Linked DNA regions of Saccharomyces cerevisiae S288C. Changing the gene in region 2 together with the main gene of any one other region gives a genetic interaction. Each region holds a gene or a part of one and is shown on either strand. Other genes may lie near its edges. The genes, in order: THR4, PFA4, SSD1 and HOM3.

What was found.
Region 1: mutations in PFA4 (region 2) and THR4 together harm fitness more than expected from each alone (negative genetic interaction), as found in Saccharomyces cerevisiae (3 studies listed by BioGRID).
Region 3: mutations in PFA4 (region 2) and SSD1 together harm fitness more than expected from each alone (negative genetic interaction), as found in Saccharomyces cerevisiae (4 studies listed by BioGRID, with this or other methods).
Region 4: mutations in PFA4 (region 2) and HOM3 together harm fitness more than expected from each alone (negative genetic interaction), as found in Saccharomyces cerevisiae (2 studies listed by BioGRID).

The regions. Positions count from the first base shown.
Region 1 is NC_001135.5:213,451-220,787, reverse strand, and holds THR4 (threonine synthase THR4), read right to left. Parts: upstream 4,092-7,337; coding exon 2,547-4,091; downstream 1-2,546. Other genes in the region: snoRNA-binding rRNA-processing protein PWP2, read left to right, coding at 1-331; CTR86 (Ctr86p), read left to right, coding at 721-2,412; RSC6 (Rsc6p), read right to left, coding at 4,343-5,794; YCR051W (uncharacterized protein), read right to left, coding at 6,049-6,717; YCR050C (uncharacterized protein), read left to right, coding at 7,016-7,324; ARE1 (sterol acyltransferase), read right to left, coding at 7,027-7,337. UniProt on the Saccharomyces cerevisiae protein: Catalyzes the gamma-elimination of phosphate from L-phosphohomoserine and the beta-addition of water to produce L-threonine.
Region 2 is NC_001147.6:320,039-326,991, forward strand, and holds PFA4 (palmitoyltransferase PFA4), read right to left. Parts: upstream 2,957-6,953; coding exon 1,820-2,956; downstream 1-1,819. Other genes in the region: transcriptional regulator SIN3, read left to right, coding at 1-1,510; IZH2 (PAQR-type receptor), read right to left, coding at 3,373-4,326; PHO80 (Pho80p), read left to right, coding at 5,211-6,092; exosome nuclease subunit RRP6, read left to right, coding at 6,794-6,953. UniProt on the Saccharomyces cerevisiae protein: Mediates the reversible addition of palmitate to target proteins, thereby regulating their membrane association and biological function. Palmitoylates several amino acid permeases.
Region 3 is NC_001136.10:1,043,096-1,052,280, reverse strand, and holds SSD1 (mRNA-binding translational repressor SSD1), read left to right. Parts: upstream 1-2,888; coding exon 2,889-6,641; downstream 6,642-9,185. Other genes in the region: sphinganine-1-phosphate aldolase DPL1, read left to right, coding at 53-1,822; SRP101 (signal recognition particle receptor subunit alpha), read left to right, coding at 7,270-9,135. UniProt on the Saccharomyces cerevisiae protein: Can suppress the lethality due to deletion of SIT4, and partially the defects due to BCY1 disruption. Is implicated in the control of the cell cycle G1 phase.
Region 4 is NC_001137.3:253,730-260,915, reverse strand, and holds HOM3 (aspartate kinase), read left to right. Parts: upstream 1-2,957; coding exon 2,958-4,541; downstream 4,542-7,186. Other genes in the region: PIC2 (Cu/Pi carrier), read left to right, coding at 1,277-2,179; JHD1 ([Histone H3]-lysine-36 demethylase), read right to left, coding at 4,782-6,260; mitochondrial 37S ribosomal protein bS18m RSM18, read left to right, coding at 6,529-6,945. UniProt on the Saccharomyces cerevisiae protein: Phosphorylates aspartate, the first step in the biosynthesis of amino acids that derive from aspartate (the aspartate family of amino acids), including methioinine and threonine, the latter of which is a precursor to isoleucine.

The DNA.
Region 1 (7,337 bases), on a different chromosome or scaffold from region 2:
ATATCTCTTCTCGACGGCTATGAGGTCGATACAAAGATTTATTGTTAGAGTGGCTAAGGAAGTAGTCAATACCACTACTGATAACAAATACACCTATAGATTTTTGGTATCAACTGATGGGTCCATGGAAGATGGCGCGGCTGATGATGACGAGGTTCTATTAAAAGATGACGCAGATGAAGATAACGAAGAGAACGAAGAGAACGATGTAGTCATGGAATCTGACGACGAGGAAGGATGGATTGGTTTCAATGGGAAGGATAACAAATTACCCTTGTCTAATGAAAATGATTCCAGTGATGAAGAAGAAAATGAGAAAGAGCTTCCTTGAAAAATATTCACTGTCCTCTATTTATGCACATTCACATCATGTATTCCCCAAGTATAGAACTATATAAAGCATTACATTTGTATTTAATATCAACAAAAAAAAATATCATCGCCAATATCGATATACATCATGATGAGAGCGCCTAATATAAACTGAGGCTACCATTACGGGAGTCGTCCTTTGACTGACGAGGCTATTTTCCTTATATATAAGGCATCATCGCTTCAGTAAAAAAAAAAATAGGAAGGGAAAAAATGAAGAATTGATGGGATGAGGAAAAAATTTGACACAAATTTATCGACTACCGTTTCATACTATCATCGGGAGAACAATTACACTAAGCCTTATAAAATTATTGATTCATCAAAAAAGAAGATAACTAAATAACAATGCCTATGAACAATTTTCTAGATGAATTCAATTTATTTGATTCAATCATTACCATGATGAAGAACGACCCATGTTGCGTCGAGGATTATGAGCCAATCGTCGAAAACCTGAACCGTATATTTCAAAGGACGTTTAATGATGAAGAACATAGGAAATCAATGGCTAACTCCCAGCTTTTTTGGGAACGATTAAGAGACACCTTGGAAGCAATGCTGTTGCCAGCGTCGTTAAATGAGAATAGCTCAATACCGTATACAAGAACAGTGAGGGGCCTTATCTTAATGATGAGAAACCTTGCCGCTGAAAACCAGGAAATACCCCAAAAGCTTTTACTACAAAACCTCGTAATTCGTGGTTTTCTGCATGCAACTAGTGAGTATGTCGTTGACACTCCGCTAATCAAACATCTATACATCGCATGTTTAACGTGCCTTTTCAATATACAGCAGAACTACTCTACAGTGGATATGACTACTTTTCCAGCTCTTTTACAATTTCTTCAATACCCTTATGGGATCAAATTGGAAGACGGTGAAGAAGAAGAGCATTTCTGGCTACCATATTTATTTCTTTTCAAGACGTATCTCAACAATGATGAATTTTCCAACGAATTTTTCAGGGATAATGATACACCCCAGAAAGACTATTATTGTGTTAGGGATAGAATATTTTTCGATATAGTGACAGCCAAATTCATCCAGGATCAAGAGAATTCCTTTTTAATTGAGAAGGGCAGAAACTATCTGGATGATTCAAAATTGGAAATAACTTCTATTGACCTATCTGTCTTAGAATGTATTAGCAAAAGTCTTACAACTGCTTCTTTTGGTAAATACCTCAATGGGTTAGAAGAAAGACAGCCAGGAAAATTCACCACTTTGTTGCAGATATTGCAATTGGTTGTAACGAGTAAAGAAGATTGGAATACCTATGAGTTGACTGCAATTATGTCATGGTGCTACCCCATTCTGCAACGTCTTGCATGCAAGGATATTCCTGCCTTTTTCAATAAAAGTTGTAACGATTATGCTCCTTCAGTTGCCATCCAATTACACTCCACTTTACTTTCTTGCCTGGACATAATTTCTGACTTGTGCAAATTCAATCATGTTAGAAAATTCTTAATTTCGTATGACTCTGTGAAAATATTGGTATCTCTCTTGGATACTTTCCAAAAGAATTTGTTGAGGATTAATTTTTTGAAAGGAAACGGTGATACGGTGAATGAAATTAAAATCACAGATCATGAAGGTAACAAAATCGAGGACCGGTTATTAATTTTCAACCGTGTTAATACCAACGAATCCTTTATTAGGGCTGATAATTTTCCCCATTGTAAATTAGTAATAATCGAAATATTGGCATCGTTAGTGTATGCACATCCTGAAATCCAAGATCAAATAAGAGAATTAGGTGGTCTTGCATTAATTCTTTCCAATTGTGTCATCGATGATAATGATCCGTTTATCAAGGAAAGATCTATTGTTTGCTTGAAGTTTTTGTTAAAGAATAATGCCAAGAATCAGGAATATGTCAAAAAAATGGAAGCTCAAGACGTTGTTCAAGACGATGCATTGAGCAAAGCTGGGTTTGAAATATCAGTTGAAAAGGGCGGGAAAGTTAGATTAGTATCTAAAGAAGAAGACCCTGGGAACGAGAATTCTGAGATTATTAGCATAGATGAAGATTAATTTTATGGTTCCTTACTCTCGCAATCATGATTCACTTTGATTAACATTAAGGATAATCGTACTTCATACTCTCTATTAATTATAGAATTCTATATGTTATATAAGATAAAATATATTCATTAAAAAGGAAGATCTTATAATTTCATTTTAGCAAGTTCTTCTTCAATAGCGTTTTTGACCAATTCAACGTCAGCTCTTTCGATGAATTTTAATTTCTTCTTTAATGTGGATAGTTTCTTCAATTCCTCAGGCAAAACATCCTTTTCAAATGAATAATTGGAAAATCCAGACAATGCATTGTTTACAGCATCGGCAAATTTAGCTGGGTGAGCGGTAGATAGAGAAATGTATTGGATGGACTTGTCATTATCTTTTGCAATCAATCTTTCTGTGGCGCAAACACCGACAGCTGTGTGAGGATCTAAGATGTAATGTTTTGGATTTACAGATGATTCGTAGATCTTCTTGATTGTTTCAGATGTTTCTTCATTGGAAACTCTTTCTGATGTAAAGTCCTTTGATGCGCCTTCAATGATGGATTTGTCAACTTGGAACTTACCGTTGGTCTTCAATTCCTGGAACCAATTGTTGACGATTTCACCGGCTTTCAAATCATCACCATTAGCTAGGTATTCACGAGCTAGGTACCATAGTAGTCTTTCAAAGTTAGAAGAGATTAAGATATCCATTGCTGGGGATAAAGTAGCAGCAACCTTGTCTGATCTTTCGTATAGACCAGATTTCAAAAATCTGTCCAAAATGTCGTTTTCATTGGTAGCGATGGCCAGTTTTTCAATAGGCAAACCCATTTTCTTGGCAAAATAACCGGCCAATATATCACCGAAGTTCCCACTTGGCACAACGAACTTGACCTTCTTGGAGTCCTTACCGTTGGTGGCTTGGAAGAATGAATAAAAGTAATAGGTCATTTGGGCCAAGATTCTTGCCCAGTTGATGGAGTTAACAGCACCGACGTTGTGTTTAGAGTTGAATTCTTTGTCACCGAAAATAGCTTTGACGATATCTTGACAGTTGTCGAAAGTACCGGTAACAGACAAAGTCTGGACGTTTTCATCTGGAACGGTGGTCATTTGTTCTTCTTGAATTGGGGAAATTCTACCGGTTGGATATAAGATGAAAACGGAAACGTCCTTTTTGCCTCTTAAACCGTAGATGGCTGCAGAACCAGTGTCACCGGAAGTAGCACCGACCACAGTGATTTGCTTTTTCTCGCCTTCAGGTAAATTGGCGTTGGTTCTTTGTAAGAAGTATTCAAAAAGATTACCGACAAATTGTAAAGCAACGTCTTTGAAAGCGTAGGTAGGACCGTGGAATAATTCTAAAATGTGCAAATTCTCCTTGTCACCAGTGACGTTTTGCACCAAGGGGGTGACTTCATCAGAACGGAAAGTAGAATAAGATCTCTTGATCAAGTCCTTTAGATCAGCATCTGGAATCTCTTCTTGGGCAATGTATAGTCTCATGATAGCAAAGGCTAAGTCTTGGAAGGAGAGCTTTGACCAATCATTGAAAAGAGTGGCTTGGTCCACTTGTGGAATAGTTGGTGGAATGAAAAGACCACCGTCAGTGGCCAGACCTTGAATGATAGCCTCTTCAAAAGAGATTGTCTTTGGAGAGCTGGATCTGGTAGATCTGTAAACTTGGGAAGCGTTAGGCATTGGTGTGAGGGATGGTGGCCGTCTAAGAACAAATATTTGCTGCTATACTACCAAATGGAAAAATATAAGATACACAATATAGATAGTATTAAAAAAACGTGTATACGTTATTGATAGAAATGACTATACATTTTGTCGAAAATTTTTCATTTTCTTCTATTTCCTCGTTGTAATGACTCTTTTGTTCGCACGGTCACTACTCACGAGGAGGCGTGCAATAATTGCAGAAAGAATGAGATCATACAGTGATGTTATAGTCTTCCTTGGGAGTACAGTAGTGAGATATTGCCCATTAGTGACCTGTCATTGTTGTTGTTACTGTATATGTCACTCGTTCTTGCAGCATCTTCATTGAAGTATTGGTCGCCCTGCAGCACAAGCTCGTTTTGCTTGGAAGACCATAAGTAGTGAGTCAGCGTTTCTCTTGGATGCAAAGACAGTTCGTGGAAAAACTGGTATTTTTGAGCACTAGAGTTCAACTGCAAGGCAAGCTTTGTGATTTCACGTAGTTTTGCTGTGTCTTCAGCATCTGTTTCTTCCTCTTTTTGTAAATTTGGCTGGGGTTGAGGCTGGTGGAGAATGTGCGACACATCTACATCCAAGGTGGTAGCACCATAGGTGGTATCTTTGGAAAGATCAATTGTATAATCTAGGATGATGGGCGGTAGGGGTGATACCAGTTTGTTCACGGTTTGCACAACATTCATCAAGGGGAGGTGCGCGGCGTTTGTATCCAATACCTTTTGTAAGAGTGAATCTAGCTTCACTTCACCCAATTCGGGCTTATCCTTTGGAGTACTTCCCTCGACGCCATCATCGTCACCAGCACCGTTTTTATTGTTATTCTCGTTACTGCTGTCTTCGGCATCGTTGGAACCATCTTGAGCCTCTGTTTGTTCCGTAACAAACAGATTGTTGATCAAAATGTACTTGTAGATCGAATAAACCGCGTCATTAACGGAGCCCGTTTGCATACCTATCAAGGTAGCTAAGTTGGGCGAGTACTGTACTTTTCCACCGTCGACACCCCTCAACTGGATGGTTATACTGCATCGCAAATTATCCTTGCCTTGCCTCTTGATGTCGATACCATCAAACTCCACAACGTTGTTTTCATCGTAGTTCCATTCCAGTGCGTCTACAATTTCCTCCCTGGATTCTGCCTCTGCACTGTCCTCATCCTCGCCGTTGTCGTTATCGCCCATGGTGCTATCTTGATCATTGTATTCGGGTTGTTGCAGATTCAAAGGAAGGCTCAATGACGAATCGCGTTTCCTCTTCTTGCCCATGCCCAGCGGTTTCAGTCTTTTAAAGTCGACCGCGACACCTTCCAAAAACTCACTAAATGGGTGCTTTCCGTTTGCGGACTCGTGCAGAAGCTTACCTTCTATTCTCAGTGTCCATGTAGTCTTGCCTGAGTCCGCTGGGGTGCCAGAATCGCTGCGAGGGCTGCTTTCCGTAGTGTTGTAGACGTAAATCCTCAGCATCTCTTTATTGGGGGGATGGTCCTTGGTCTTGGTGTTTGTAGGTAAATTGATGGACGTATCCAGCCTCCTTCTTGTCAGATACAAATCTAGTCTGGAATCCATTTCTATCAATTTTTTCAAATCTGCCAGATTGGAGACCTTATCATCGGGCAGATACGTGGGGATATAAGCATCCGTTGGATATGTAACAGGGACCGGATTGGTCTGTGTTACCATTTCTATGAGCTGTTTTTCGTGCTGTATTACTATACGAAGCTGCCTTGTGAACTGTATATTTGTTGCTTTTCTTTCACTCTACAACGTTTTTTTCATTCTATTTAAAAACGCGGTGAAATTTTACCTTGTAAGAACGTCTATTAATGTACAGAAAAGATACATAAGGGAAAAGACTATGTAAGAGAAAGAAGTAGTTCATGTAGCGTCGCGTTCAATTTCTTTTAGCAAGCTGTAAGAGCCTTTGTGCTGGGTCGTTATTTTCTTCTCTTGGAATCTGGTTCGTCCCCGGAACCCGCCATGGAGCCCTGGCCCAGCATCTGCTCTCTGACCATAGCACGGATGTACCTTTCCAACTCCTCCTCAGCGTTGTCTCCCGTAATGATCTGTTCCAACTGCCTCCTGCGTTGCAGAGTGGCCTCATCGGCTCCTTCCTCAGGGTCATTTTCCAAGGTGTATCTCACGTTGTCCTTGAACTCTTCCAGCAATTTGCTGTCGATGACACCCTCACCCTGCACGCCGTCCACTCCGTGAACATCGGCCACGCCGGACTTAATCCTCATGTACTCGATTAGCTCACCATCTTCACCGTTCTCGACGAACGAGTCGTATGGCGTTTGGCCCTCCACATTCCTGATAGTGAAGTCTCCACCCAGCTCTTCCACGATCAACCTGGCAGTGGCCACATCCTCCACATGGTGCAACGGGGTATCGCCGTCGTTGTCCAACACATTAATGTCTCCATTGTACTCATTGCACATTTTCTTCAGCAAATCCAGGTGGCCGTATGCGGCGGCAGCATGCATTGGAGTGTAGCCGTTAATGTCCTTGGATTGCGGGGTCATGGCGCCTTTACTCTCGCGGAGGATATGTTCCACTCGGTCCAAATTACCATCTGAAGCAGCCACCCATATATTAGCGTTCATTTTGTCGTCACAACACCTATAATCATCGATTTTTGTCACCTGCAAACTCTTCTTGTTCTCAATTATATCAAAGGCATCGAAAATTTTTGGGGTTATGACAAGGAAAAAAAAAGTATTACCCGAAACTTAAACAATGAATGGTATATACTATATTGTAAAGTTCTAATAATATATATAAATATGTATATAGATATATATATAGACCTAGGAGCTCTTTGCCCCTGTCTTTGACCACGGTGGAGCGGACGCCCATTCCCTATTGTATATCTATCAAGGGCTTGCGAGGGACACACGTGGTATGGTGGCAGTTCATAAGGTCAGGTACAACGTCATAATGATACTGGGCCCTGAACAGACACCAAACGAAAAGACAACGTTGGACAACTGCGGTCTTGCCCGTAGAAACTTGGTGTTGCTCAAAGCAGTCCACACAAACTGCGACAGTTGGAACATGAACAGATATCCTCTAACCCTTCTGAAAATGGCGAACATGGCCATTTCGTGGAACACGGCACTCAAGAAAAAAGTAAATAATGTAGCTTGGCTCTTGCTCAAATGCAATGCGCCCATGGAGCTGTGGTACACGTGTCTTAGTAAAAATTTGTGAACGGGGACGTTCC
Region 2 (6,953 bases):
CTCCCATAAGCAAAACGTGTCAGAATCTAGCGGATCTGACGATGGCAGTTCTATTGCATCAAGGAAGAGGCCCTATCAACAAGAAATGAGTTTACTTGATATTTTACACAGGAGCAGATATCAAAAGCTAAAGCGTTCTAATGATGAAGATGGCAAAGTTCCCCAGCTCTCTGAACCACCCGAAGAAGAACCTAATACCATTGAGGAGGAAGAGCTCATCGATGAAGAAGCTAAAAATCCGTGGCTAACTGGGAATTTAGTGGAGGAAGCAAACTCTCAGGGTATTATCCAAAATCGCAGTATTTTTAATCTATTCGCTAATACGAATATTTACATATTTTTCCGTCATTGGACAACGATTTATGAGCGGCTTTTGGAAATTAAGCAAATGAATGAAAGGGTCACAAAGGAAATCAACACAAGGTCGACAGTTACTTTTGCCAAAGATCTAGATTTATTATCGAGTCAACTTTCCGAAATGGGACTAGATTTTGTTGGTGAAGACGCGTACAAACAGGTTTTAAGACTGAGTAGAAGGTTGATTAATGGGGATCTTGAACATCAGTGGTTTGAAGAGAGTTTGCGGCAAGCTTACAATAACAAAGCGTTTAAACTCTATACAATTGATAAAGTCACCCAATCGTTGGTAAAGCATGCTCATACCTTGATGACTGACGCTAAAACTGCGGAAATAATGGCTTTGTTCGTTAAAGATAGAAATGCCTCCACCACGAGTGCGAAGGACCAAATTATCTATCGCTTGCAGGTGCGCTCACATATGTCCAACACAGAAAATATGTTTAGAATAGAGTTTGATAAAAGAACTCTGCATGTTTCCATTCAATATATTGCACTTGATGATTTGACACTAAAGGAACCAAAGGCAGACGAAGATAAATGGAAATATTATGTAACATCGTATGCTCTGCCACATCCAACAGAAGGCATTCCGCACGAGAAACTGAAGATACCATTTTTGGAAAGGCTCATCGAATTTGGACAAGATATTGATGGAACAGAGGTAGATGAGGAGTTTTCCCCCGAAGGCATCTCTGTATCGACATTGAAAATTAAGATCCAGCCTATAACCTACCAACTGCATATTGAAAACGGGTCTTACGATGTTTTTACCCGTAAGGCTACTAACAAATATCCTACTATTGCTAATGATAATACTCAAAAAGGAATGGTTTCTCAGAAGAAGGAGTTGATATCAAAATTTCTAGACTGTGCAGTTGGTTTGAGAAATAATTTAGATGAGGCTCAAAAATTAAGTATGCAAAAAAAATGGGAGAACCTAAAAGACAGCATAGCAAAGACGAGTGCTGGAAACCAGGGAATAGAGAGTGAAACCGAAAAAGGTAAAATTACGAAACAGGAGCAGTCGGATAATTTGGACAGCTCTACTGCAAGTGTACTGCCTGCATCCATTACTACTGTACCACAAGATGATAATATAGAAACGACTGGGAATACTGAATCTTCAGACAAGGGGGCTAAGATTCAATAAGTAGTTTTAACTAGATTTAGAACAAAAATCTTTAGTACGACAGGGTCTTTCTTCTGATGTGTACCTTTAATTAATGTCAACGATATAACATTGTAATTTTAAAATTCTAAGTGTTTTTGAAGCTTTTTAAGACACATCGATCTTTCCATAAAGGAAGAAGTGATAACATGCAGTGGTTATATTTGTGTACTCATACACTGGTGCATGAATCTTTTTACACGTCATTAGCATAGTATGTAATCGAAAGGACACTATTTATAAGGGACAGTTTATACATACATATACTTGATATTCCCATGAATGAGTATTCTATTCCATATCAACATCCACTCCAAAATCGTCTAGTGATTCACCCCAGTCGTTGTACCACTTCTCACGAGAAGCATGTCTGCCATTTTGAGGAAGTCTGGTCCTTATTAGCTGTTCGCCACTTTCATTACGCATCTCTATTGTTGAGCTGCCATGATTGAAGACGGTGTTTGTTTTACCTCCATCTGGTGGCCAGGGAAGTGAAAGGATGTGGTCTTCCAATGAGGAGTTAGCCTCATATTTTGAAATACCGTTTTTTGGAAAATTGTTCCCATCTCCCGTAGGAACACCATATGGCCATAACCATAAATGAATGGGACCAAGGTACAGTAATGCATTAGTGTACAAATCAAAATCGTAAGGGAAATTTACAAGTTCATCAAAACGTGGCCTTTTTTTTGTCAAGTGTTCCTCAGCATCCTTTTTATTTTGAAACGACCTCGACTCTGGATATATTCTCCAAGTATTATCAATTAATTTCTGAGTTAATCTTCCGGAGTTGAACAAAGATTCTAGCCGATCCATATCCCACGACTCAATTTGAGATCTTCCATTCAAGATTTGATTGAATAAACATCGTAGGAAAAGAATTGTTATCGTTAGTAGGACAAAAGAATTTAAAGGACTCGATATTGTTAAGAAAATCAGTTCTGATTTTTTGAAGAAGTAGCCAGGCAAGTGCCTTTGTTGCCAAATAAAATATATCCGCTTAGCTTGTATGCAAAATAAAACACTAGTCGTCACTATGATCCAAAATAAGAATCTAAGGAAATGCGGATAGTTTGCAAAGCCGACGCAATTCATCGTCCACGGACAATGATGATCCATCATTAGGACGCATTGATTGCAGGTTTTACAATGATGTGAACGTTCTGGCTTATAACTTTGGCACTTCTTACAGAAATTCCGCCAGATATCAGGGGGTGGTTTGTAGTTGGGCAAAGGCCTTCCTGGATTTGTGCAGATGGCCAAGTAATAGGAGAGCCATATCATTGACAAACAGAACTCAAATGTTATTTGTTTCGGAACTGACAAGAAATTGGATAAAATAAAGTAGTGTGCACCATAGCCTATAAATGAAATCAGAAACGTTGGTATAGCAATTCCTAACCAAGGCCACCTTAACTTTACTGGCATGGTTTAACGATCAACTCAGTTTTTAAAATTCATGTTATACACCATCACCACAATGTAGGGACGATAATTATCGTATCTCAGATCCGCTATTTTTCATAAGCGCGTAGTAAGAGAGGTAGGTTTAACAGGATAATAAAAATATACATGAGACAGCCAATAAATAGTGGAAATAAGCCGTATTTTAAATTGAGAGCTCTTAGTAAGAAAAATGTTCCTCTGAGACGCTAAAGTCGTGTATATTTCATATGAGAAAGTGCACAAATCCTGCTTCCCTTCTATCTGGGAATTTCTTTTCTATATTTGAACATATTATTGTAAGGGCCTTTTTCTTTATTCTCTTCTCACATATAAGAACCATTTTATTATTTTAACTTTAAAACTACTTTCTATATAAATCCTACGTTTTTTCCAAATATCTAGGAGACAATCCCGTTCTCCATCTTTATATGGACTAACTCATAACTATTTAATAAACCTCTCAAGTGGCACAATGCCGCAATAACAACTAGAAAATGGAAAAGTTGGTGAGAATGACCCCAAATATCAAATTTACCGGGGCAAATCTTTTCAGGAAACCGCATTCCATAAAGAACAGCGCCAATTATATATAGGACACCCCCAAGTAATACCCAAAAGAGCTGAATTTGGGTCCAAATTTCTGAAAAACTATAGCAGTAAAGGCCGCTGAATATTGGAATAATTGAGGATAAACCAAAACAAACAAATAGCCCAGCTCTGTAAGGTCTCCACTCTCTTTTCCGAAACTTATCTTTTAGTGACACAATACTACACGCGATCCCAAAGCTAACGGTAATAAGCGCAAATAGGCAAAATAGGGAAAATTTCTCAAAATAGCCGTAGTACAAAATACTGACCATTGACGTAACAATCAATATACAAATACCAAGGTAGTCCAACTTATTTCCTAAGGTAGCAATTCTTAAGGAGTGACTCTTTAGACAATGAAAGGAGCTACTCAATATTAAACATGCAAACGCCCCCGAATAAAAGAGGTCGATTACCATATGATCTAGCCATGTAGTTGTTGCAAACACTTTGATAGTAGATTTATCTAGCAACAGTACAGTGAAGAACCCGAGAGCAGGAATTAAATGTGAATAAATATTGACACTTTCATTATGCAAATAAAACAAACTTTTAAAAGTTTCAATGAAGCTACTAGTTTCTTTCACGTATCCATGTAAAATAAAATCATTGTCTCTTTGCCATTCCGGAATTTCATCCCAACTATATAGCCTTCTTAGTACTTTTTTAGCTTTAGCGACCTCTGCGGGATTTGCGGATGTTTTCCCTGCAGCTCTCTTCTTCAGCTCTTGCACACTCTTAGTCCTTTCTAATAAAGTTGACATTTGGAATGATTCTTCTCCAACATGCAGCATAATTAAAACGACGGGAAATTTAGTACATTTGGCTCAAGGAACGCTGACATAAATACTATTTCTAATCTACTATTCGAAGAGATGTTGGATTTCTAAAAAAAAAAGAGCTCAACAACGGAAGACCGCCTATTAACCCCGAGTGTCTGTTTTTTAGTATACTCGAAGCAAACAAGAAAAGTTTGTTACTTAATTTCTGGCCTAAACAAGGTAGTGCTACCCTAGAGGAAGTACGATATCAGTACACTTTTGTATTTTTAACGAATTATGGTATTCTTTAAAATATTTAACATGCTATCGAGTTTTTCTTTCTAAAATGCGGTTTCAAAATTTGAGTCCGCTTTCTATGGAAAATATGAATGAGGCGAACGTGCTTGTACCATAGTCAGATTTTAACCCGTAGGTGAGAGCCTGAGGCTTCTGTAAACCACCTTGGAAACACATACGGGTTATAAGATTTTAACAAACAATCAGTCTCCATACTCATCCTAGGATCTCTTCTTCATTTGATGAATAAAGGATTCAAACTTCAGAAAGTTATTCAGCGTATATTGGCTTTCCTTTAATCTAATGCCCCAAGCCATCATAAATAGCCATATTACTTTGAAAGTGCTCATCCGTATACACTGCAACTTTTCTTCTTTTCTCTTTAGCCGATTATAGCTCCTACCTGTTTTTTTTTTCTTCTTAAGATTATTTATATTCCAATTTTATCATCCGTATTGTTTCCAATAGCGTTCCAGTGATCAGTTATATACTTCGAGAGGCAGATAACCTTTCTTTTTATAAGTGTTTATCAAATTTAAGTCTGCAAGCTATCATAAGACGAGGATATCCTTTGGAGACTCATAGAAATCATGGAAAGCACATCAGGAGAACGTTCCGAAAATATACATGAGGATCAAGGGATACCAAAAGTAATTCTGCCCGCTGATTTTAATAAATGCTCTAGAACTGACCTAGTGGTGCTCATATCACGAATGTTAGTATCGCTGATAGCAATCAATGAAAATTCAGCAACAAAGAAATCTGATGACCAAATTACTTTAACACGATACCATTCTAAGATTCCTCCAAACATATCAATCTTCAACTATTTCATACGACTGACAAAGTTTTCCTCTTTAGAACATTGTGTGCTTATGACATCACTCTATTATATCGATTTATTGCAAACTGTGTATCCTGATTTTACGCTTAATTCGTTGACTGCCCATAGGTTTTTATTAACAGCCACCACAGTCGCAACAAAAGGCTTATGTGATTCGTTCTCAACAAACGCCCATTATGCAAAAGTTGGAGGAGTACGATGTCACGAATTGAATATACTGGAGAACGATTTTTTAAAGAGAGTAAACTACAGAATCATTCCGCGGGATCATAACATTACGTTATGTAGTATAGAGCAAAAACAGAAAAAGTTTGTCATAGATAAAAACGCATTAGGGTCTCTCGATTTGGATTCTTATTCTTACGTTAATCGTCCAAAAAGTGGATATAATGTTCTAGATAAATACTATCGAAGAATAGTTCAGCTGGTGGGTTCCTTTAACGCTTCACCTGATAAGAGTAGAAAGGTTGATTATGTTCTCCCGCCAAATATTGATATAGTGAGTGAAAGTGGCTCCCAAACTACTCAACTAAAGGGGTCGTCATCACCCAATTCTCACTCTTCACAAAAGCGATATTCTGAGGCAAAGGACGCACATATCTATAACAAGCGATCAAAGCCAGATTAATGATTTTTCGTGGGGTATTATGAAAGCAATCATGATTGAGCAAAATTAAAACTTTCCATTTGTACATATATATATATATATATATATATATCTGTGTGTGTATAATAAGCAATTGGCCATCATTTGGCTAAAAAGTTCAAGATTTCAGGTAGTATATAAGAGAATAACTTCCCTCTTTTGCTAAAGAAGGATATGTTCTATTTCAGCCTTTTTGCATCATAAGAGCATAAGCGACAGAAAACACTTCGAGATGAGCTTGAGAACTCCATTTCAATTAACTTGATAAATACATGTAGATTCATATCATCACTGTTCTTTTCAGATACTAGTTTCAAAACTTCCTTGACAGAACCATTTCATGTTCAATAATGAAAATTACTTTCACATGTTTTAGTGGAAAAATACTGAACAATGAAATTTCAATATCGCATATAATAATTTTTGTTATCAAATATATATTTTTCGGAAGTCATATACATTAAATAATTAAAACATTATTTTTAAAAATTAAAAAAATATATTTTAGCAAATAGTTTTTACTTTTTTTTAAATGCAAAATAAGTTCACGTGATATTATTAATAATATTTTACCCAAAAATATGAGGGCATCGGAAAATTTTTCAGTAATGAATATTAATGTTCATCTGAAGATAGACGAAATAGGAACAACAAACAGCTTATAAGCACCCAATAAGTGCGTTATGACTTCTGAAAATCCGGATGTACTTTTATCTAGGGTGATAAATGTGGTGAGAGCAGCATCATCGTTAGCCAGTCAAGATGTAGACTTTTACAAGAATTTAGACAGGGGATTTAGTAAAGATCTGAAATCAAAAGCAGACAAACTTGCGGATATGGCGA
Region 3 (9,185 bases), on a different chromosome or scaffold from region 2:
TTTACCGAGCAAGTAGGCTAGCTTCTGTAAAGGGATTTTTCCATCTAATACAATGAGTGGAGTATCAAATAAAACAGTATCAATTAATGGTTGGTATGGCATGCCAATTCATTTACTAAGGGAAGAAGGCGACTTTGCCCAGTTTATGATTCTAACCATCAACGAATTAAAAATAGCCATACATGGTTACCTCAGAAATACCCCATGGTACAACATGTTGAAGGATTATTTGTTTGTGATCTTTTGTTACAAGCTAATAAGTAATTTTTTTTATCTGTTGAAAGTTTATGGGCCGGTGAGGTTAGCAGTGAGAACATACGAGCATAGTTCCAGAAGATTGTTTCGTTGGTTATTGGACTCACCATTTTTGAGGGGTACCGTAGAAAAGGAAGTCACAAAGGTCAAACAATCGATCGAAGACGAACTAATTAGATCGGACTCTCAGTTAATGAATTTCCCACAGTTGCCATCCAATGGGATACCTCAGGATGATGTTATTGAAGAGCTAAATAAATTGAACGACTTGATACCACATACCCAATGGAAGGAAGGAAAGGTCTCTGGTGCCGTTTACCACGGTGGTGATGATTTGATCCACTTACAAACAATCGCATACGAAAAATATTGCGTTGCCAATCAATTACATCCCGATGTCTTTCCTGCCGTACGTAAAATGGAATCCGAAGTGGTTTCTATGGTTTTAAGAATGTTTAATGCCCCTTCTGATACAGGTTGTGGTACCACAACTTCAGGTGGTACAGAATCCTTGCTTTTAGCATGTCTGAGCGCTAAAATGTATGCCCTTCATCATCGTGGAATCACCGAACCAGAAATAATTGCTCCCGTAACTGCACATGCTGGGTTTGACAAAGCTGCTTATTACTTTGGCATGAAGCTACGCCACGTGGAGCTAGATCCAACGACATATCAAGTGGACCTGGGAAAAGTGAAAAAATTCATCAATAAGAACACAATTTTACTGGTCGGTTCCGCTCCAAACTTTCCTCATGGTATTGCCGATGATATTGAAGGATTGGGTAAAATAGCACAAAAATATAAACTTCCTTTACACGTCGACAGTTGTCTAGGTTCCTTTATTGTTTCATTTATGGAAAAGGCTGGTTACAAAAATCTGCCATTACTTGACTTTAGAGTCCCGGGAGTCACCTCAATATCATGTGACACTCATAAATATGGATTTGCACCAAAAGGCTCGTCAGTTATAATGTATAGAAACAGCGACTTACGAATGCATCAGTATTACGTAAATCCTGCTTGGACTGGCGGGTTATATGGCTCTCCTACATTAGCAGGGTCCAGGCCTGGTGCTATTGTCGTAGGTTGTTGGGCCACTATGGTCAACATGGGTGAAAATGGGTACATTGAGTCGTGCCAAGAAATAGTCGGTGCAGCAATGAAGTTTAAAAAATACATCCAGGAAAACATTCCAGACCTGAATATAATGGGCAACCCTAGATATTCAGTCATTTCATTTTCTTCAAAGACCTTGAACATACACGAACTATCTGACAGGTTGTCCAAGAAAGGCTGGCATTTCAATGCCCTACAAAAGCCGGTTGCACTACACATGGCCTTCACGAGATTGAGCGCTCATGTTGTGGATGAGATCTGCGACATTTTACGTACTACCGTGCAAGAGTTGAAGAGCGAATCAAATTCTAAACCATCCCCAGACGGAACTAGCGCTCTATATGGTGTCGCCGGGAGCGTTAAAACTGCTGGCGTTGCAGACAAATTGATTGTGGGATTCCTAGACGCATTATACAAGTTGGGTCCAGGAGAGGATACCGCCACCAAGTAGCTATATAGAATCAAATCTCATACATAATTTAAAGAACGAGAGTGCAATGTGATGATTGTGATTCCTGATCCTATGTCACGGACGACGACTTGTATCACCTTGAATTTTCTGACCAAAGGGGCCGAGTCGCTTCACGAGGGGATGAGAAAGGAAAAGAAGGGAAAACTAAACTTATATAACGCAGGTGTGTCTTTCTACCATTGCCATCAAGTTATTAAAGGCCACGAACAGGAACGCTAGAGACCTGAGTTTGTCATTTGTTTAGTTCAAGGATTAAATAAACAATCCTTCTACAAATAAGTCCTTTCTTTCACCATCGTCTTAAGACCACTGCCTCCAACGAAAACTAACCTAAAAGAGTTTAGATCACGAGTATTTTCGCTCTTTCCCTCCTTCCCCTGGTTTTTTCTCGTTAGTTCTTTTCATTTAAAAACTCTTCTCTTGTCAAGAATTTAAAAGACGAAGAGTCCAACACCGACTGATTTTCTAACAGCAAAGGAACGAAGTTTTGCCGTGCAAACAATAATTTCTAAATTATAATTTTGAGCCTAGCTGAGAAATAGGAGAGATTATATTTTAGAAAGGTAAGAAGTTTTTCTGTCATTCCTTTTAGAATATTTGCTACGTTCTAACATTTTTTGTTACTCAAGCGCATTTTCTGCAACTTCCCTTATAAGCTATTTCCTTTTTTTGGGACCGATCCTTTCTTCTGTCTTTGGTAACCTAAAAACCGGAATAGTCAAAGTTATCTGCATAGTCTTCTTGCCAGGCTTATTTTCGCCATACCATTTTTCTGGTACCCTAAACATTTTGGTCTTATTTTAGAACAGCTGGTGCCTCGTTTTTCCGCATTAGGCGCACTTTTTTCATAGCCACTATTCTAAAAGAAACAACTTTTTTTCAAAGGGAAATCTAAGTTGCCTGCACGAAGAATAAGACAAGGGTTCATAAACGTATAGTATTTGCCAAGTTCCATCTTTTTCTTTGTCACTTTAATATCGCAAAACAGAACACCAAAAACCTTTCAGCGCAAAGATTTGGCCCAATTATTCCATCTTTATACACTATGTCTAAAAATAGCAACGTTAACAACAATAGATCCCAAGAGCCAAATAACATGTTTGTGCAAACCACAGGAGGTGGTAAAAACGCCCCAAAGCAGATTCATGTTGCACACAGACGTTCCCAAAGTGAGTTGACAAATTTGATGATTGAACAATTCACTTTGCAGAAGCAGTTGGAGCAAGTTCAAGCACAGCAGCAACAGTTGATGGCTCAGCAACAGCAATTGGCACAACAGACAGGACAATACCTGTCAGGAAATTCTGGCTCTAACAATCATTTCACGCCTCAACCGCCTCACCCTCATTACAACTCAAACGGTAATTCACCTGGTATGAGTGCAGGTGGCAGCAGAAGTAGAACTCACTCCAGGAACAACTCCGGATATTATCATAATTCATATGATAACAATAACAATAGCAATAATCCTGGGTCTAACTCACACAGAAAGACGAGTTCACAATCCAGCATATATGGCCATTCCAGAAGACATTCTTTAGGTCTAAATGAAGCGAAAAAGGCTGCTGCGGAAGAACAAGCTAAAAGAATATCTGGGGGTGAAGCAGGCGTAACTGTGAAGATAGATTCTGTTCAAGCTGATAGTGGCTCAAATTCTACTACAGAACAATCTGATTTTAAATTTCCACCACCACCAAATGCTCATCAGGGCCATCGTCGCGCAACTTCAAACCTATCACCTCCCTCTTTCAAATTTCCTCCAAACTCTCACGGGGATAATGACGATGAATTCATAGCAACCTCTTCAACGCACCGCCGTTCAAAGACAAGAAACAATGAATATTCTCCAGGCATTAATTCCAACTGGAGAAACCAATCACAGCAACCTCAACAGCAGCTTTCTCCATTCCGCCACAGAGGATCTAATTCAAGGGATTACAATTCCTTCAATACCTTAGAACCTCCTGCGATATTTCAGCAGGGACACAAACATCGTGCCTCTAATTCATCAGTTCATAGTTTCAGTTCACAAGGTAATAATAACGGAGGTGGACGTAAGTCCCTATTTGCACCCTACCTTCCCCAAGCCAACATTCCAGAGCTAATCCAAGAAGGGAGACTAGTAGCTGGTATATTAAGAGTTAATAAAAAGAATAGATCGGATGCCTGGGTCTCTACAGATGGCGCTCTTGATGCGGATATTTACATTTGCGGCTCCAAAGATCGTAATAGAGCACTTGAAGGTGATTTAGTCGCGGTAGAACTATTAGTTGTGGACGATGTTTGGGAGTCCAAGAAAGAAAAGGAAGAAAAGAAGAGGAGAAAGGATGCCTCTATGCAACACGATCTAATTCCTTTGAACAGTAGTGACGATTACCACAACGATGCATCTGTTACTGCTGCAACAAGCAACAATTTTCTATCTTCTCCCTCCTCGTCTGATTCGCTAAGCAAGGATGATTTATCCGTCAGAAGAAAGAGGTCATCTACTATCAATAATGATAGTGATTCCTTATCATCTCCTACCAAATCAGGAGTAAGGAGAAGAAGTTCATTGAAACAACGTCCAACTCAAAAGAAAAATGACGATGTTGAAGTTGAAGGTCAGTCATTGTTATTAGTTGAAGAAGAAGAAATCAACGATAAATATAAGCCACTTTACGCAGGCCATGTCGTTGCTGTTTTGGACCGTATCCCTGGTCAGTTATTTAGCGGTACATTAGGTTTGTTGAGACCATCCCAACAAGCTAATAGCGACAATAACAAACCACCACAAAGCCCAAAAATTGCTTGGTTCAAGCCTACTGATAAGAAGGTGCCATTAATTGCAATTCCTACAGAATTAGCTCCAAAGGACTTTGTTGAAAACGCTGATAAATACTCCGAAAAGTTATTCGTTGCCTCTATTAAACGTTGGCCAATCACATCTTTGCATCCATTTGGTATTTTAGTTTCCGAACTTGGAGATATTCACGATCCTGATACTGAAATTGATTCCATTTTAAGGGATAACAATTTTCTTTCGAATGAATATTTGGATCAAAAAAATCCGCAAAAAGAAAAACCAAGTTTTCAGCCGCTACCATTAACGGCTGAAAGTCTAGAATATAGGAGGAATTTTACGGACACTAATGAGTACAATATCTTTGCAATTTCCGAGCTTGGATGGGTGTCTGAATTTGCCTTACATGTCAGGAATAACGGAAATGGTACCCTAGAGCTGGGTTGTCATGTTGTTGATGTGACCAGCCATATTGAAGAAGGCTCCTCTGTTGATAGGCGTGCGAGAAAGAGGTCCTCTGCGGTGTTCATGCCACAAAAACTTGTCAATTTATTACCACAATCGTTCAACGACGAACTGTCGTTGGCCCCTGGCAAGGAATCAGCCACGCTGTCGGTTGTTTACACTCTAGACTCATCTACTTTAAGGATTAAATCTACTTGGGTAGGCGAATCTACAATTTCCCCCTCAAACATCTTGTCTTTAGAACAATTAGACGAAAAATTATCTACTGGAAGTCCCACTAGCTACCTCTCTACTGTACAGGAAATTGCTAGATCATTTTATGCTAGAAGAATAAATGATCCAGAAGCTACATTACTTCCCACCCTGTCCTTATTGGAAAGCTTGGATGACGAAAAAGTTAAGGTTGACTTGAACATCCTGGATAGAACTTTAGGCTTTGTTGTAATTAATGAGATTAAAAGAAAGGTCAACTCCACTGTTGCAGAGAAAATTTACACCAAACTTGGTGATCTAGCTCTTTTGAGAAGGCAGATGCAACCCATTGCAACCAAGATGGCGTCATTTAGAAAGAAAATTCAAAATTTTGGTTACAATTTTGATACCAATACGGCGGATGAATTAATCAAAGGGGTGCTAAAAATTAAAGATGACGATGTTAGAGTCGGAATTGAAATTTTACTGTTTAAAACCATGCCAAGAGCTAGATACTTTATTGCTGGCAAAGTAGACCCGGACCAATATGGGCATTATGCCTTGAACCTACCTATCTACACACATTTCACAGCGCCAATGAGAAGATACGCTGATCATGTCGTTCATAGGCAATTAAAGGCCGTTATCCACGATACTCCATACACCGAAGATATGGAAGCTTTGAAGATTACCTCCGAATATTGTAATTTTAAAAAGGACTGTGCTTATCAAGCACAGGAACAAGCAATTCATCTATTGTTGTGTAAAACAATCAACGACATGGGAAATACTACAGGACAATTATTAACAATGGCTACTGTCTTACAAGTTTACGAGTCCTCCTTTGATGTATTTATTCCAGAATTTGGTATTGAAAAGAGAGTTCATGGAGATCAACTACCTTTGATCAAAGCTGAGTTTGATGGTACCAATCGTGTCTTGGAATTGCATTGGCAGCCCGGCGTAGATAGTGCAACTTTTATACCAGCAGATGAAAAAAATCCAAAATCCTATAGAAATTCCATTAAGAACAAATTCAGATCCACAGCCGCTGAGATTGCGAATATTGAACTAGATAAAGAAGCGGAATCTGAACCATTGATCAGCGATCCATTGAGTAAGGAACTCAGCGATTTGCATCTAACAGTACCAAATTTAAGGCTACCATCTGCAAGCGACAACAAGCAAAATGCTTTAGAAAAATTCATTTCTACTACTGAAACCAGAATTGAAAATGATAACTATATACAAGAAATACATGAATTGCAAAAGATTCCTATTCTATTGAGAGCTGAGGTGGGGATGGCTTTGCCATGTTTAACCGTCCGTGCATTAAATCCATTCATGAAGAGGGTATAATCTCTTCTACCAATATCGTCATTGCTGTTTTTCTTGTTTTTCACTTTCGTTCTTTGGATTGTGCTTCACCCCTCAGTATCCCTTCCCTTTGTTTTTATTTCCTGCGAACATTAACAACTGCATGAATTTTGTACTTCTCCTTTTAATCCACGTTCCGGTAAGGCATCATCCAAATTTTTTTATTCGACCTCGTTAAGTCATATATTTTTTCCCAAAAATACATAAAACAATAATGCAGCCTTCTTTTCAATATTTACAACTTTTCAATTTATATTGTCTTTTGTTATTTATACTCTTATATATTAAATTTATTCCGTTACTAAATACCCTTTTGCTGTACAAATATCATCAAAGAGAAGTACTGAAAGCTTACTTTTTATGCGCTGGGTAATTTTTCCGGAAACAATAACGAAATCATCGTCGAGCAATTTTGCTCGTACTTCAGAAACTACTGCGTAAACATTTGAGGTCGTACAATAAGTAGATAGAAATAAATAAACCAATTTTTCGTCAGCGTTTAATCTGTAGCCAAAGATTTGTGGTATTCTCACAGTTTGAATAATATTCAGCTACTTCATCAAGTAGTTTTTTTCAATAGGAGATTCACGGTTCAATAAGTGCATTGATTATGTTCGACCAATTAGCAGTCTTTACCCCTCAAGGTCAAGTACTTTACCAATATAACTGTTTAGGAAAAAAGTTTTCTGAAATACAAATTAACAGCTTTATATCCCAGCTGATTACTTCCCCAGTAACTAGAAAAGAAAGTGTTGCAAACGCAAATACAGACGGATTTGATTTCAATCTTTTAACAATCAACAGCGAACACAAAAATTCTCCTTCATTTAATGCACTATTTTATTTGAATAAGCAACCAGAATTGTATTTCGTAGTGACTTTTGCCGAGCAGACTTTAGAGCTTAATCAAGAAACTCAACAAACACTTGCACTGGTGTTAAAACTCTGGAACTCATTGCATTTAAGTGAATCCATTCTAAAAAATCGTCAGGGCCAAAACGAAAAGAACAAGCATAACTACGTCGATATTCTTCAGGGAATTGAAGACGACCTGAAGAAATTTGAGCAATATTTTAGGATAAAATATGAAGAGTCAATAAAACAAGACCATATCAATCCAGATAATTTTACCAAAAATGGATCAGTACCCCAATCGCATAATAAAAATACCAAGAAAAAATTGAGGGATACAAAAGGTAAGAAGCAATCTACAGGAAATGTTGGTAGTGGGAGAAAGTGGGGCCGTGATGGTGGCATGCTTGATGAAATGAATCATGAAGATGCAGCCAAATTAGATTTCTCATCATCCAACAGCCACAATAGTAGCCAAGTAGCTCTAGACTCCACTATTAATAAAGATTCTTTTGGGGATAGAACAGAAGGAGGCGATTTCTTAATCAAAGAAATTGATGATCTTTTGTCTTCTCATAAAGACGAGATAACTAGTGGGAACGAAGCTAAAAATTCTGGATACGTCAGTACAGCTTTTGGATTCCTTCAAAAACACGTTCTAGGTAACAAAACGATCAATGAAAGTGATTTGAAATCTGTATTAGAGAAGTTAACACAACAATTGATAACCAAAAATGTAGCACCAGAGGCAGCAGACTATTTAACACAGCAAGTCTCACATGATCTTGTAGGCTCAAAAACTGCAAATTGGACCAGTGTTGAGAATACTGCTCGTGAATCTTTAACAAAAGCATTAACTCAAATATTAACGCCTGGTGTATCCGTTGATCTCCTCCGTGAAATTCAGAGCAAAAGAAGCAAAAAGGATGAAGAAGGTAAATGTGATCCCTATGTGTTCTCTATAGTTGGTGTTAATGGTGTTGGTAAGTCAACAAATCTTTCAAAGCTAGCGTTTTGGTTACTGCAAAATAATTTCAAGGTCTTAATTGTTGCTTGTGATACGTTTAGGTCTGGTGCAGTTGAGCAACTAAGGGTCCATGTTGAAAATTTGGCACAGCTAATGGATGATTCACACGTTCGTGGCTCCAAGAACAAAAGGGGTAAAACTGGTAATGACTACGTTGAACTATTTGAAGCTGGTTATGGTGGATCTGACTTGGTAACCAAAATTGCAAAGCAAGCCATCAAATATTCTCGTGATCAAAACTTCGATATAGTGTTAATGGATACTGCCGGGAGAAGGCATAATGATCCTACTTTAATGTCGCCATTGAAGTCTTTCGCTGACCAAGCCAAGCCAGATAAAATCATTATGGTTGGAGAGGCTTTAGTAGGTACTGATTCTGTCCAGCAAGCCAAAAATTTTAATGATGCCTTCGGAAAGGGAAGAAATCTTGACTTCTTTATTATCTCCAAGTGTGACACAGTTGGTGAAATGCTGGGTACTATGGTAAATATGGTTTATGCTACGGGGATTCCTATCTTATTCGTTGGCGTGGGACAAACCTATACCGATTTGAGGACATTAAGCGTAAAATGGGCTGTTAATACATTAATGTCTTAAAAACTGTAATATCATAGTATATATATATATACCACAGACAATGTTATTCA
Region 4 (7,186 bases), on a different chromosome or scaffold from region 2:
GCTTACTGCCGCCAAGAGAGGTATGCAAAGTCAGTTCTACCTAGTCTGGCTTAGCGTTTTACTATTTACGAAGTTGATGTTCTGTTTTCTAATTTATCTTTTTTCTACTCATTCATTTCCACACTACACTTAATATTTTTTCAATAATTTTCGATGTTTTTAATCCGGTTTTCTATTGATGAGCGCCTTCTTAGCTCATACTTAATACACGTTTTTTAAGATTTATACGTTTGACAGCTCACGCTGTTTGACCAAAGTTATTTTCATTTTTATGTTCGTAATTATGTATTTTTGCTATTGTATATGATATACGTCTATATTTAGGCAATTATAATATGATTATAATATAACTTACTACATCTCTAAAACATGCTGTCTAGCCCTTCCATCGCAAGACTCGGCTAGACATTCGAGGAAGGCACAAAAAGCCACCTATCCCCATCTCTCCAAAAAGCTTCATTTCGAAAATAAGAAGGGAAACATCCGAATAAGACTAAAACTTTGTTCCTTCAATGACTACTAAGTTATTAGATGTCAGAAATCCCGCAAAATCGCCCGCATATCAAGGTAAGCGGCAAAACCCTATTCTTGAAAAAATGTAAATACTAACCGTGTGAGAATTTTAACGGTGTATTCCAAAAAGTCAGCACGTGATCTGCTAAGAAATCCGAACCTCGGCCTTTGTTTTTTTTGTTACAGCATAGGGAAAAGACGCATTGTGTCAAAAAGGAACATCGTACCATTACCCTCTCAGCACATAGGTAATAAGGTGACAAGTAGCAAGTGAAAAGTACCGCTTACGAAGAATACTTTAATTCAACGTAGATACTGCAAAATATTCAAGTCATTATTTTTGGCCCTTAACTTGCCTTTCCAGTTCTTAGATTCATTCATATGCTAGCTAGCAACAACGGTCACTTTGGGTTGCATTTCACAATCTCATTCGGCTAAGATCTCGGCTAACCAAAAGTTGGACTTCAGGGGTATTAGCGAAATAAGGAGATCTTTTTTAGGTTTATTCCTTGTTTTTAGTTTCATTTTGCTTAATAAAAAGGAAAATGGATATATCGATTTTCTGCATACCCTGTTACATTTGATATAAATACAGCGGGACCTACCAAATATACTTTCATTTTGCTTGTGTTTTATAGATATTTTATTTTTTTTTCCAGGCAGTCAATGACACATTGTTAACTGAAAGTGTTCTGTTATTGTTTTAATTCTAAAAAAATAAAGTAAGGGAAAAAGAGAACGGACTCATTGACAGTTGTAAAGCATGGAGTCCAATAAACAACCACGTAAAATCCAATTATATACGAAAGAGTTTTATGCCACATGTACCTTAGGTGGTATAATTGCGTGCGGTCCAACACATTCTTCGATCACTCCACTAGATCTTGTCAAATGTAGGCTACAGGTCAATCCCAAGTTGTATACTTCAAACTTACAAGGGTTCCGTAAGATTATAGCTAATGAAGGCTGGAAGAAAGTATACACTGGGTTTGGTGCTACATTCGTCGGATATTCGCTACAAGGTGCAGGTAAGTATGGTGGTTATGAGTATTTCAAGCATTTGTATTCTAGTTGGTTAAGTCCTGGTGTCACTGTGTACTTGATGGCCTCAGCGACCGCTGAATTCCTCGCTGATATCATGTTGTGCCCATTTGAAGCTATTAAAGTGAAACAGCAGACTACTATGCCGCCCTTTTGCAATAACGTTGTTGATGGATGGAAAAAAATGTATGCAGAAAGTGGAGGTATGAAAGCATTTTATAAAGGTATTGTTCCCCTATGGTGCAGACAGATTCCTTACACAATGTGTAAGTTTACCTCATTCGAAAAAATTGTTCAAAAAATATACAGTGTTTTACCTAAAAAGAAAGAAGAAATGAACGCATTACAGCAAATATCAGTCAGTTTTGTAGGTGGTTATCTGGCAGGTATATTATGTGCTGCAGTCTCACATCCTGCAGACGTTATGGTTTCCAAGATCAATAGCGAAAGAAAGGCCAACGAGTCCATGTCTGTAGCCTCTAAAAGAATATATCAAAAAATTGGCTTTACTGGGTTGTGGAATGGGTTAATGGTGAGAATTGTCATGATCGGTACTTTGACAAGTTTCCAATGGCTAATTTACGATTCGTTCAAGGCTTATGTAGGCTTACCAACCACCGGTTAGCTGATCGATTCAATCGGCAAGGTTTATCGTAAACACTCTGTGCTAGAGGAATATTGTATACACAGGATTTCATAAAGTTAGTAAATGACCGGCATTTATAGTTTGTTCTTCTTTGCATATGTCTTAATAAATATTCGTCCTACAATTTCTTTTCATACTAAGAGTTTTGTTATGATTGCCAAATTTCTCAAGCCAAGAACAGGCCCAGGAAAACTTTGAAAGTGCCATATCAGAAACACATTTATAAGGTAGTTTCGATATACGGCAATACTCGATGCATGCCCAAACTTGCCAGCCGCTCGCGATTGAATCTTCTACAATTTTTAGGTGAACATATTCAGAGGCTGAGGCCTTATTTGATAGTAACATCAAATATCACTCCCACAATTTACAATCACTGTCATTGGTCTCACAGGATCCTTTTCTTTCTAGAACTCCCCTAATATCAACTTTTTACTCTACTGTGGCTCTAACCACGTGTATTTTTCAGGCCCATGACTCACCTTTTCTTTCTTTTTCACTAGCAAACGAAAATTTCATCATCACTTTTTTTTTTTTTCACTTTCCGTACGCAGTCTTCTCCAGAGATTCTTTTAGCTTCGAAGAAATAATGTATAATATCCATATATAAGAATACTGCTGGATAATTATTTTATTTCTATTTTAACAGTGCTCTACTCATTGAAGGATATTTGTGTAGCCAATACTCTCTCCATCGCTTAAGCTCACATAGCTATCGCATTTTATCACAGAAGCTTTCATTTTTTTTAACTTTTACATGCCAATGGATTTCCAACCTACATCAAGTCATTCGAACTGGGTCGTGCAAAAGTTCGGTGGTACATCTGTCGGTAAATTTCCCGTCCAAATAGTGGATGACATTGTGAAGCACTATTCTAAACCTGACGGCCCAAACAATAATGTCGCTGTCGTTTGTTCCGCCCGTTCTTCATACACCAAGGCTGAAGGTACCACTTCTCGTCTTTTGAAATGTTGTGATTTGGCTTCGCAAGAATCTGAATTTCAAGACATTATCGAAGTTATCAGACAAGACCATATCGATAATGCCGACCGCTTCATTCTCAATCCTGCCTTGCAAGCCAAGTTAGTGGATGATACCAATAAAGAACTTGAACTGGTCAAGAAATATTTAAATGCTTCAAAAGTTTTGGGTGAAGTGAGTTCACGTACAGTAGATCTGGTGATGTCATGTGGTGAGAAGTTGAGTTGTTTGTTCATGACTGCTTTATGTAATGACCGTGGCTGTAAGGCCAAATATGTGGATTTGAGCCACATTGTTCCCTCTGATTTCAGTGCCAGCGCTTTGGATAACAGTTTCTACACTTTCCTGGTTCAAGCATTGAAAGAAAAATTGGCCCCCTTTGTAAGTGCTAAAGAGCGTATCGTTCCAGTCTTTACAGGGTTTTTTGGTTTAGTTCCAACTGGTCTTCTGAATGGTGTTGGTCGTGGCTATACCGATTTATGTGCCGCTTTGATAGCAGTTGCTGTAAATGCTGATGAACTACAAGTTTGGAAGGAAGTTGATGGTATATTTACTGCTGATCCTCGTAAGGTTCCTGAAGCACGTTTGCTAGACAGTGTTACTCCAGAAGAAGCTTCTGAATTAACATATTATGGTTCCGAAGTTATACATCCTTTTACGATGGAACAAGTTATTAGGGCTAAGATTCCTATTAGAATCAAGAATGTTCAAAATCCATTAGGTAACGGTACCATTATCTACCCAGATAATGTAGCAAAGAAGGGTGAATCTACTCCACCACATCCTCCTGAGAACTTATCCTCATCTTTCTATGAAAAGAGAAAGAGAGGTGCCACTGCTATCACCACCAAAAATGACATTTTCGTCATCAACATTCATTCCAATAAGAAAACCCTATCCCATGGTTTCCTAGCTCAAATATTTACCATCCTGGATAAGTACAAGTTAGTCGTAGATTTAATATCTACTTCTGAAGTTCATGTTTCGATGGCTTTGCCCATTCCAGATGCAGACTCATTAAAATCTCTGAGACAAGCTGAGGAAAAATTGAGAATTTTAGGTTCTGTTGATATCACAAAGAAGTTGTCTATTGTTTCATTAGTTGGTAAACATATGAAACAATACATCGGCATTGCTGGTACCATGTTTACTACTCTTGCTGAAGAAGGCATCAACATTGAAATGATTTCTCAAGGGGCAAATGAAATAAACATATCCTGCGTTATCAATGAATCTGACTCCATAAAAGCGCTACAATGTATTCATGCCAAGTTACTAAGTGAGCGGACAAATACTTCAAACCAATTTGAACATGCCATTGATGAACGTTTAGAACAATTGAAAAGACTTGGAATTTAAATCCACCTTTCTTCTTCACTTTAATGATAGAATATTAATTTTCCCTTTATATATATATATATATATATATACGCGCACATATATTTACATATATATTAATGTTTTGTAACCTATATTGGGGCGATTATTCCCTAAATGTAATGTCAGGGTTATACTGTATCAATTGCTAAAGTAGATCTCATTCATCGAGAGCATAGGATGAAATAAAAGATACAAGAACGTGGCGGACAAGAAGAAATTTTACGAAATAAGATCGGCTAAAGCTTTCGCTAAATGCTTCTTTGAAGTGAAATTTAACGGCTTGTACTTAACTTCAGGTTTTATAACGTATGCATGAAGTGATTGAATTGCGCAATTAGTGGTCCTGGAAAGCAAATCCCCATCACTGACATCACTAGTGATTTTATTTTTATCAAGCGCAAGATACTCGCATAATTTACCCATCACTTGATCAAACTTCGGGAAGGTAAATCTTCTAGGAACCTTTGTTAACTTTTCAATTTCCACAATTTTAAGGTGTGTCTCCAAATCACGGATGGTTAAAAAGTTGCCTCCAAATACCAAAGAGTCTACTGGTGTATAAACTGCATGAATATATCCAGCTGGAATCATAAACAAATCACCAGCATCTAATTCCATCGCAATACCATCCTCAAGAATATCACCGAGGAAAACACTATTTTGGTCTTCTTTTAAAGACCACTCAATATACTTATCTATGTTTGATTGGGTAGGTGGAAATAATAAAAACTTCTTCTGTCCTGAGATAACGTTATAATAAACAGAGGTACCGGCAAAATCCAAATGAAAATCCGTATAAGCATCCTTTACAGACATCAAAATATATTTGGTCACTTTTGGCTTGGGGTCATTCTCCTCCGCCTTCTCCCCATTGACTTTTTCTAAATGTCCATTGAAACTCCAAATTTTATCAACAAGATCATTCTGCCTAACTGCAGTGGGCCTCTCTAGTTCTAATCCCTCAATATTAGAGACTTCTAATGATATAACATTCCTTATTCGATCCCTCCTGTCTGGTTCAGTATTTGTAAAATATTCATTCCAAGATCCCAAGTTCCAATTTTCATTCATTTGTGATTGAACGTCCATTACATCAACATGATAATCCTCGCCTATCATTTCGGTGATATAATTAACTGTGAGGCATCCATTGTCTGTGCCCACATTCGGTACATATACTCCGCTATTCAGTGGATCGATGATCTTGTACGGCACATCTATATTATCAAACTTTTCAGCAAAGTCAGCGGCGTTTATAATATTTGAGCCATTTTTCCATTTTTCAAAAGATTTCATGAAACTCTCCTTATGAGGGTGATTCATTTTATCCCTTTTCGATTCACCCTCATTCAAAGCGATATAGTCAAGTAATTTCTTCTTTCTGAAATTATACCGCTTATTTATATGACTATCTTCAGGGTTTTCTTTATTCCTTTGCCGCTTTCCTTTTTGTGTGATGAGAGCGTATGCGGTAAGATATTCTCCTTCCTTATGATTAGGACAACGGTAGCTCTTGATTTGCTTCGCAGAATTTGGATAAGACAGAACTTCAGAACTTGTAAGATTTGAATAGTGAATGCGTTTCAAAGGCACGCATTTCACGTGGACCCACTGCGGGCAACTATCACACTTCACCCAAATTAATGCGCCTGGATTATCCTTCAACTGGCAATGCTGGCAAATATTGGGATCTTGCATTGCACCATAGCTTATTAGTATTTTGTTTTATGATCATTACGTCTTCTTACTCATTATAATCACCCACTTCTATTAGATGTTCTATTATGCCTTTAAATTGCATTGTAGGGTAACCTGTTGGGGGAAAAAATATCTAGGATTACTTTACATACTTAAATATGAGTCCATTATTAACAGTGTTACAGTTCTAACCAAAAAGGCAAGGTTCTACACAAAACTTCGGATGTTCAAGATGAATGCCACCACAGGCATAAAAATTCAAAACGGTATGCAACCTATCATCAAGGGAGCAGTAAGCTCCACATTTAAACGTGCTCTATACAATTTCGGTATCAAAGAAAAGAAGAGTGTCAATATTGAAATGGGGAGAACGCAACAAACAAAGAAAATCGATCAGTCTTTGTCCAAAAAACTTCCCAAAGGTACTATCTACGATCCATTTGACTTCTCTATGGGACGAATCCATTTAGATAGAAAATATCAGGCAAACAAGAACTCAAACAGGAACGATATAATGAAGTCCGGTGCAAATCCACTAGAATTTTATGCAAGACCAAGAATACTTTCAAGATATGTGACCTCCACGGGAAGAATCCAACATAGGGATATCACAGGCTTATCGGCAAAGAATCAAAGAAGACTATCGAAAGCCATTAGACGGTGCCAGGCAATAGGATTAATGTGAACTGTACTACACTAATGCTTCTCCACATGAAATAATTAAGAAAATAAGGCATTTCATAGTTCTGTCTGTAAATATACAATATGTAAAAAGAATCGCAATTAGATCTTAAGTTAAACTTATATTCATTCTTATATTTCTTTAATATACCCGTTTTATTCGCTTACTCGAATTTGGATTATGGTAATGATATTCACGCCAGAGGAATAAGCTGAAATTGACGAATAACTTTTCAAATAATTTT